Callithrix jacchus: one gene and its partner. The protein of the gene in region 1 interacts with the protein of each later gene in a pairwise test. Links are inferred from orthologs where the notes say so. Each region holds a gene or a part of one and is shown on either strand. Other genes may lie near its edges.

Region 1 (4,545 bases):
GAAAGGAATGGGTGGAAATATATATGTAATAAGACTGGTGAAGAATTGAATGTTTAAACTGGTTGATGAGTATAGCACTTTGGGAGGCCGAGGCGGGTGGATCATGAGGTCAAGAGATCAGGACTATCTTGGTCAACATGGTGAAACCCCGTCTCTACTAAAAGTACAAAAAATTAGCTAGGCATGGTGGCGCATGCCTGTAATCCCAGCTACTCAGGAGGCTGAGGCAGGAGAATTGCCTGAACCCAGGAGGCGGAGGTTGCGGTGAGCCAAGATCGTGCCATTGCACTCCAGCCTGGGTAACAAGAGCGAAACTCCATCTCAAAAAAAAAAAAAAAGAATACATTAAACTACTTTCTCTACTTTTGCATACTTAAATTTCTTTATAATAGAAGGTTTTTAAAAAGAAGGACAAAGAAAATAAAAAGAAAACTAAGGTAGAAAGAAAACTTTTTGCCTCAGATTTTTACTCCAAATTTGAGAATTTTGAATTTTTTATTCTGCATCTCTCAATTAAGCTAGAGTCGCTTGATTTTCTATTTTCTAAGCTCTGCTCTAACTAGAAGCCAAAGATCCTCCTGAGCTCAAAATAAAAAGCCATTTACAATAAAAGTTATAAGACCACAAAGAGTGGGAAGTTGCCCTCAGAAGCACCAGCTAACCAAAGTTATCAAAACTCTTCTTTCTGGGTTATGAGATGTAGGTTTTTTTCTTCCTGTTTCTTATGAGTGTGCATCAACAGTCTGAGGTTATGCCTTTTGCCAGATTTTGTGATTTGAATATGACTCATTTCAGTATGACAAATACCGGATTCCTGTAGAGTGGGGGGTGGGAGGAGAGGGTACTAGACTGAAGACTCTGTAATTATTCTCTGTGGTCCTTTACCTGTGGAGATGAAATAATATCAATATTATCATGAAACGAGTAAAGTGAGGTCTCTGGGGGTCTCTATGAGTTGTATGGATTTCATTTTGAGGCAGTCTGCTCCTGGTTCCTCTTTATCTATCATGCCTAATGCCTGTGTAATGAGGGCTTAGGTAAAACCTTCTGAGTTACAAGCTGCTAGCCTCTGAGGTACGACTGCAGACTGAAAATATTTGCTCACTTGAGCCAACCTGTCCTAGATGCCATTTCTCTGCCAGCAGGAAGAAAGGTCCACCCCAAGTCTCAAGGGTAGTTACTGGGCAGCTGACAATTTGAAGAAACTACTCAAGTGTAGCCATGAATAGCCTGTGGAGATATAGCCAACTGGATAATCTGTACAAATGTTAGCTTCCAGGCTACTTGCTTGGTACTTTCTGTATTTCTGGACAAGATTTACCTAACATCTAGCCTGCTCAGGAAATGCAAAACAATATAATATAATGTCAGTTAAATCTGAGTCACTTTGTTGGCCACAACACCAGAACTAACAAACTTCTAAAACAGAAGACCATCTTTTTGCTTAGTTTTGGTGTCAGGTGTTCCGGCAGTGACATTAATTAGTTCTTTTTTCTTAGTTTTCTCATCTTAAAAAGAAGTGGATATACCTCTGAAATACCTATTTCAGAGGGTTGCTGCAGACACTAAAATTATCAACATATGTAAAAATGTCTAGTTTTTCTTCAGTCACTAAGTATTAGTTTCCTTTTAAATTATTTGCCATGAAAGCCATTAGGTGTCCCCACTCCCCCTCCCCAACAACAACAAAAACAAAAAAGAAATAAAAAAAGGAAAAGAAAAAAAAAAAGGAAAGGGAAAAAAGGCCCTAGCCCTAGTGTAACTCAAGGAGAAATTCACATTCTTCACTCAGGGAGGATAAGAATTTGGATTCTACCCCAAGTCCAAAATAGAGACTAGCGTAGTATCAAGATAGACTCAACCTCCAAAGCAGTTTGGTATATACTAAACGCTACCTTTTTCTCTCCATTAACATCTCTTCCCTCCTGCTAATTTGCCCTTTATTTTTCCTCTGTTTCTCCAACTTTGAAATCACATGTCAATTTTTTTTAAGACAATGTAACAATAAGCAAGATATTTTTTGTCATTCTTTGCACTTTTGACATACCCCATCCGCAAACACACCCCAAACCAGGACACTGTGGAATTAATACAGCTTGGAGATTGGGTAAAGTTTAGTGACTCAGTGTTAGTTAAGATGCTGGCAACAGATGTTGGCAGAGGCTATGGAATGAGTCCCAAGAATGACAAACATTACACTACTCCAAAGGTTTGAAATCCAGGATCTCTCTGGATGGATAATGCGGCTAAGAGTTCCACTGCTGGTTTTAATTGCCTTGGAGTGGAAGGAGGTATCATATTTTCAGGCCATAGTAATCTCTTACTTTAGAATTCTTCTGAATAAAAAGCTTGGCAACAAAATCACTTGAGTTAGAGTGCTATGCCTTCTTGATTTAAGACGAAAACATGAAACAAATGAAACCACTCTGGCCTTTTTCCAACCTCTACAGATCCCTCATTCTTATACTTCGAGTCCATTTTTTTCTTCCTCATAACACCCCAACTCCTTTTCTGCTCTTTCTTTTCCTCCTCAAATCACATCTCTGCATTGCCTTGCTATTTGGCCACCCTATGATCTCCAGTGACCTTCATGGGGCAAAATGCTCATAATAAAACGACAATTTCAATCACAATCCAGTCCAGAAGTATTTGCCAAGAGTTTAGTCTGCGGTTAGCACCAAACTCTCCATTTTGCCACTGCAAACAGTGAACCCATAGTTCCCCAAAACAATCATAGTTCCTCATGCTTCCCTCTCAGCAGGGCTGAGGACAGAAGTGAAAATAAAATCTTCCATTACTACCCTGGGTCTAGCCAGAAGTATACCCCACTACACATGTAGATGGCAGCCAAGTCTTCACTCCCTCAGAGTTTCTGCTCCGAGAAGCTCCTCACTCACCTAACTCTTCCATTATCCTACATCCAAGATGCTCTTGTCTCACAGGCCGTGAGGAACAGCTTTAGCATGTGCTGAACAACAGGACCACAAAGGAACTGAATGAGACAGCAGAAGGCAGCCTCTATAACCCTTTTTGGTTCCTGTATTTGCTTAGCACTTCCTCTCTTTTGATTTGGTGAGGTTTTTTTTCTTTTCTTTTTTTTTTTTTTCATAGGTTACACAGTTTTATAAATGGGACTGACATAGAAAGGTAGATAGTAAGATTTGAGTTATGGTAGTGCATTGGCCAGGGTGATAGAGATTTAAAATTAATTTTGCAAAATTTGAGCACCTACTCTGTGCCAGGACTCATCTTGGAGTCATGGGAATGGCAGATTCATACTGTGTTTTTTCCAAGTGGAGGTACCCCACTCTAACTGAGCATCTACCTTTTTTTTTTCTGTGAAGCTGGGGAACCATGAAGGCATAGTCTTCTTCTTAAAATTTCCATTCAAATGGATTCCATCAGGTATCCATTCCATTTTGTTGTCTTAATGTACTTATTCAAAAATTATGCTTATCAGCTTTCCAGCACAGATTGTAAATCCTTAAAAGTAAGGCAGCAGTGGATTCATGCTTGGATTCTCGGGGCCTGGCTTACTCGGCAGTTCAAAATGCAAACATCTATGGGGGGCGGTCACAAAGAAGGAAGCCAGGTTTGATACCAGATATTAAACTGCATACATCTCAATTAAGCATAATCCTTGCCTAGATACATTACCTTATAGCAATTTCTCTGGAAAGTGACACTGAGGTTAACTCTTCACCGTTTTTACCACTACGATTTTATTCACCTTTAATGAAACATTTACAAAAAGCGTACTATAAAAAGGAACCATCCTGTTAAATAATTCTGTTAAATAGATTTTATCCCCGTTTTTACCAATGGTGAAATACGTTCATGCAATAGTAACTTGCTAAGATAATTAATTGGTAGCTTTGCTACCATAATCACAGATTTCAAAGTCTGTGATCTTTCCTCTAAAACACAGTGCTTTATTTTTTATTTTTTTTTTAGAGACAAACTCTCACTCTCTCTGTCACCCAGGCTGGTGTGGAATGGTGCCATCATTCATAGCTCAGTGTAACCTCCAACTAGAACGCCTGGACTCAAGCGATCTACCCTTTTCAGCTTCTGGAGTAGCTAGGATGGCAGGTGCATGCCATCACGCCACTAGGTTAGCTTAGGAACTTTATTTTCAAATTAAAAAAAAATTTTTTTTTTTTAGAGAGGGCGGTCTCCCTATGTTGTCCAGGCTGGTCTGGAAGCTCTGGGCTCAAGGGATCCTCCCACTTTTGCATCCCCAAGCGCTGGAATTTCGGGAGTGAGCTACCACATCCAGCCCACTGGGGCCTTTTTTTTTTTTTTTTTTTTGAAATAATTCATTCTCCATTCCACTGTCTGTAAATTTTTTAAAAGGGGATTTCGCCTCTGTATTACTTTGGGCATCCATTGGATGTCAGTACTGTTCCTTCCAAAAGTCTGCTCACTGCAAACTCAATCTGAAAAAATTTCCATTGACACTATGCCAAACAATTATTACAACTGAAAATGACATTAGTCATATGAAAGGACAAAATACTCAGTAGAGAATATAAAACATTTGTC
Region 2 (4,443 bases), on another chromosome or scaffold:
CGTGGCTGGGTCTGGGAAGCCTCCTACCCTGCTGCCTCCAGAGTCTGCATCTGTCTCAGCCTATTTTCCTTGGCCACAGACTGGGACTCTTCCTTTCTGATCCTGAAATTGCACCCCTCCTTCAAACTCACTCTGCCCTGCCTAACTGCACCATATCTGTGGGGGCATCACCTGTCTCCCCCCTCCAGCCAACCTCCCATGCCCCTCTTCTGCACCCACACTGAGGATTTCCTGCTTGGCTAAAGCCCCCCTTTACTACACCACCATGGGACAGTCTGATGGAAAGCAGAGGGCTGGGCACAAATCCCCAGTTGAAGGAGGAGGGTAGCAACCAACTTATTGGGGGGAGGAATCCAAGTTGTCTGATATTCCTCTACAATCACACTGCCCCCTCTGGAATTCCTGCATCCGACCCCAAAGAAATTGCTTTCTCCCGTCCCTCCGTTGCTTTTTTCCCGTTCCAAAAACAGCCTACAATTTTATTTAATGAAAGACACATTTATGAACAATCAAATGATCCTCATAAAAATTTTATTGAAGGACGTAAAAACAAGCTACTTGCCCACGACCGAGGTCGCTCTCTCGCCTTGCCCGCTCTCACCCTGGCTCTCTGTAGACAGAGCCCGGGAGTGACTTCTTTTTTGGGGGGTGGGGGTAGGGGAAGTGTCGCAGAGGTGGAGCTGGGGGCGAAGGAGGCTGAGCAGGAAGATGGGGTGGGGACACCCCACTTAAGTTGTGTAGATCTCTCCTCCACTTCTTCAAGCTGGCAAAGAAAGATAAATACAGACAATAAGTTTAAAATACAGGCGCCTGTATATCTGTGCCAAAGCAAGGAGAAGACTTCTGAGGCTGCTGTAAAGGTGTATGAGATCCTGAGGTTCTACCCCTCCCACCCAGGAACCACCTTCCCCAGGCTTCCCCTTCCCCAGATTTGGGGGGCTGAGTTGGCCAGTGGCAGAAGAACGCTCCCCTTCCCTCCTTCCCTCCCTCCATCCCAGCTTCCCTAGTCCCCTCCCACCCTCCCTCCCTCACCGCTACCGCTGCTCCTGAAAGAAATACATACATACACACTATTTAAAAACGCATTTTTAAAAGCCACGTTCCGAACTGACAATCGCTGATCTCGGCTCGCGCAGACACTGCGGGAGCGTCGGGACCGACAGAGACGGATTACGTCAAGAAATAGTTCCTCCACCTACCTCGGTCGGCCTCCCCGCCCCTGCGGGGCTCCAGCGCCCAGCTCGGCCCTGGGGTCCGGGAACCCTGGCTTCGGGGACGGGCATTTTCACCCCATTTAAAAATCCTCATGGTTGGGGGAGGCCAACTGCTTATGGGTGGGCATGGGCACAGGGGCTTCCCAGATGAGCTACGAGCCGTCCTGAGGGGGTGACCGGTGCCTTGGGTCCAGAGTTCCGGACCCCCAGGAAATCGCAGGTCGCGGGGAACAGCGGAGAGAAGGGGGTGGGAGAGGGGGAAAAAAAACCAAGGAAAAAAAAAGCCCCTGCGCATTGATCCGCGCCGTATTTTTGGGTAAATACGATCACGTGGGGGCCGGGGAGCCAATGAGCTGCGGGGAAAAGGCTGGAAAAATAATTACCTGCCTTGATTGTTCTGTGAGCAGATAAAAAGTACATATACAGTTCATACAATAATCTTATGTATGTAAAACCCCGTTACGATGTCGGCGACGGGGCCCATCAGTAACTATTACGTGGACTCGCTCATCTCTCACGACAATGAAGACCTCCTAGCGTCCAGGTTTCCGGCCACGGGGGCTCACCCCGCCGCCGCCAGACCCAGCGGTTTGGTGCCGGACTGTAGCGATTTTCCGTCCTGTAGCTTCGCGCCCAAGCCGGCAGTGTTCAGCACGTCGTGGGCGCCAGTGCCCTCGCAGTCGTCCGTGGTATATCACCCGTACGGCCCACAGCCCCACCTCGGCGCCGACACGCGCTACATGCGGACTTGGCTCGAGCCGCTGTCCGGCGCCGTTTCCTTCCCCAGCTTCCCTGCCGGGGGCCGTCACTACGCCCTGAAGCCGGACGCCTACCCCGGGCGCCGCGCGGACTGCGGCCCGGGCGACGGCCGCAGCTACCCGGACTACATGTACGGCTCGCCCGGGGAGCTGCGCGACCGCGCGCCGCAGACACTGCCCTCGCCCGAGGCGGACGCGCTCGCCGGCAGCAAGCACAAAGAGGAGAAGGCCGACCTGGACCCCAGTAAGTTGGGAGCAATTTTCCTTTACAACCAGTGCGGGAGGGGAGGGGAGGACGGGCGGGGGCAGCCGGATTACAGCCCTCCCGAAACGTGCAGGGAGCGCGGGAGAGGGGCGAGGGCGAGGGCGAGGGGGCGAGGACTCAATAAAAGCGAATTACCTTGGGGATCTTTCAGGAGCAGGAAGGTCTGAGAAGGGGGCCCAGGGAGACAGGTTGGGAGAGGGCCGAGGGGAGCTCCTCTCTCAGGAGCTGGCTTTGATGAGAGACCCCTGCCCCCTCTTCCCAGCCCAGGCTTTTTGGCTCAGTCACCACTTTCGAAGAAATGCAGGCAGGGCCAGGGAATGGGGCTGGGGGCGAGGTTCAGTTTCTGATTTGAGATGGGATGGGGAAGAGGTGAGGAGGACACTGGGGGCACAGAGGAGATACCCCCAGCGAAAAGAAGTACCCCTGCTTCCCAGTTAGCATGGAGGTCGTCACCCCACTAGAGAGTTATAAAACAGAAGGTCCATGGACTTCTCCCCCAGGAGCACTGGGTGAGGGGTCTGGAGCATTTCGAAGCCTGGGAACTTGGAGAGACCAGGACTTTCAGAGAGAAGTGGGGACAAAAGTGAGGTCTGAGTCTCCTTAAACTTGAGAACCCTCTTCTGAGGGTCTTGGAGGGGAAGGGTTGAGAATGGGGGTCAGGGATGAGGAGTGGGCATCTCCCCAGATTGGAAAATTCACACACACACACACACTCCAATCAGGGAGACAGGCACCTTCTGAGGGTTGCACAGGAGGCAGGTTGGGGGCAGGTGGGAGCTGCAGGGCCAGAAAAAGGGGAAAGAAGGAGAAACAGCAGGAGAGGGGGTGCAGTCCCCTGGGTGTGAGGAAGTGTCTCGGGGAGTCCCAGGAGGGGGCTGCAGGAAATCTTTTCCTCCAGCCCGATAAGGGGCCAGGGCCTAATTATACCCCTCTGAAGGCTTCCCTGCCTGCCCTCAGCAACTCCCATAAACCTGAAATTGGAGGCTTGGCTCCTGCAGAGCCTGTCCTGGGGCTGGCAGGAGGGGGCACTGGAGGCCAAACAGGAAAACTAAGATATAGGGGAGCCTGTCCCCAAGGCCAGCAGCTCTCTGGGGAGAGGAGAAAGACTCTTCCCTTGTCAGCATCACCCTGAGAATTCGCCTCAGCAGGGTTGAACTCCGAGCAGGAGGAGGGTGCTGCAGAGGGTGGTGAGGGGCTTAGGGACTCTCAGGGTCAGGAAGCAGAACTGCTAAAATTTCAGGACTTGGTCGTGGGCTGGGAAGATGGGAGGGGGCAGAGGAGGAGGGAGGTGGGGAGGAGAGAGACCTTGCTATAAAAATAAAAAGCAAGAGAGAAGCGTTTATGGGCCTATGAAACGGTTGGGAATTTGGACTTTTTATGAGGATATTCTCAAATTACTACTCTTGAAGCTGAGGACCAGACTGGAGGGGCTTTGATAGCTTCGGATTTCCTACAGTTTTAGGTGCTGGAAACTGAAAAAGGGGAAGCTGAGGAGGGGACAGAATGCAAAACGAGGAAGGAGGAAAATTCCTAAAGCAAAATGTGTCCAAATTCAGGTTCAGTTGTTGCGTTTGGGGAGCCTGGTTAAGTCTGGGGGTACAGCAGCAGAAGTCCTGGGCTGGAAAGGGGCCCCACTGACCCCTGCTTGTGTTTGGCCCTCCAGGCAACCCCGTGGCCAACTGGATTCACGCCCGCTCCACGAGGAAGAAGCGCTGCCCCTATACCAAGTACCAGACGCTGGAACTGGAGAAGGAGTTTCTCTTCAATATGTATTTAACCAGGGACCGTCGGTATGAGGTGGCCCGGGTTCTCAATCTCACTGAGCGGCAGGTCAAAATCTGGTTTCAGAACCGAAGGATGAAGATGAAAAAGATGAATAAAGAAAAAACCGACAAGGAGCAGTCCTAAACCCTGCCCAGCCTGCTGCCTCAGCACAGCCAGGGAAAAACAAAACCCCGCAAAATACCCCAACCCAGGCGGGAGAGAGACGAAAAAGAAATGGAAAGAGCAAGATAGAGAAAAGCCAATCAGCTTAAAAAGGAAAAAAAAAAAAAAAAAAAAGGAAGGGGAAAAGAAAACTCTTGCGATTTGGGAGGGTTCAGTGTTGAGATATTGGTGTTTTAGAGTTAGTTCTACCCATCGAGGAGGAGGCAGGGAGAGAAGCTGCATTCTCTTTCCCCAGCGCAACTGAAATAAATGACACACG

The links.
Region 2: the proteins of LPXN (region 1) and HOXC9 interact in binary tests that used the Homo sapiens proteins (3 or more experiments, as listed by UniProt). The two-hybrid records come from large-scale screens. The link is inferred for Callithrix jacchus from reciprocal best matches to the Homo sapiens genes LPXN and HOXC9.

What each region holds. Positions count from the first base shown.
Region 1 is NC_133511.1:116,038,804-116,043,348, forward strand, and holds the start of LPXN (leupaxin), read right to left. Parts: upstream 2,995-4,545; 5' UTR 2,911-2,994; coding exon 2,898-2,910; intron 1-2,897. UniProt on the Homo sapiens protein: Transcriptional coactivator for androgen receptor (AR) and serum response factor (SRF). Contributes to the regulation of cell adhesion, spreading and cell migration and acts as a negative regulator in integrin-mediated cell adhesion events.
Region 2 is NC_133510.1:65,554,708-65,559,150, reverse strand, and holds the start of HOXC9 (homeobox protein Hox-C9), read left to right. Parts: upstream 1-1,613; 5' UTR 1,614-1,678; coding exon 1,679-2,216; intron 2,217-3,900; coding exon 3,901-4,145; 3' UTR 4,146-4,443. UniProt on the Homo sapiens protein: Sequence-specific transcription factor which is part of a developmental regulatory system that provides cells with specific positional identities on the anterior-posterior axis.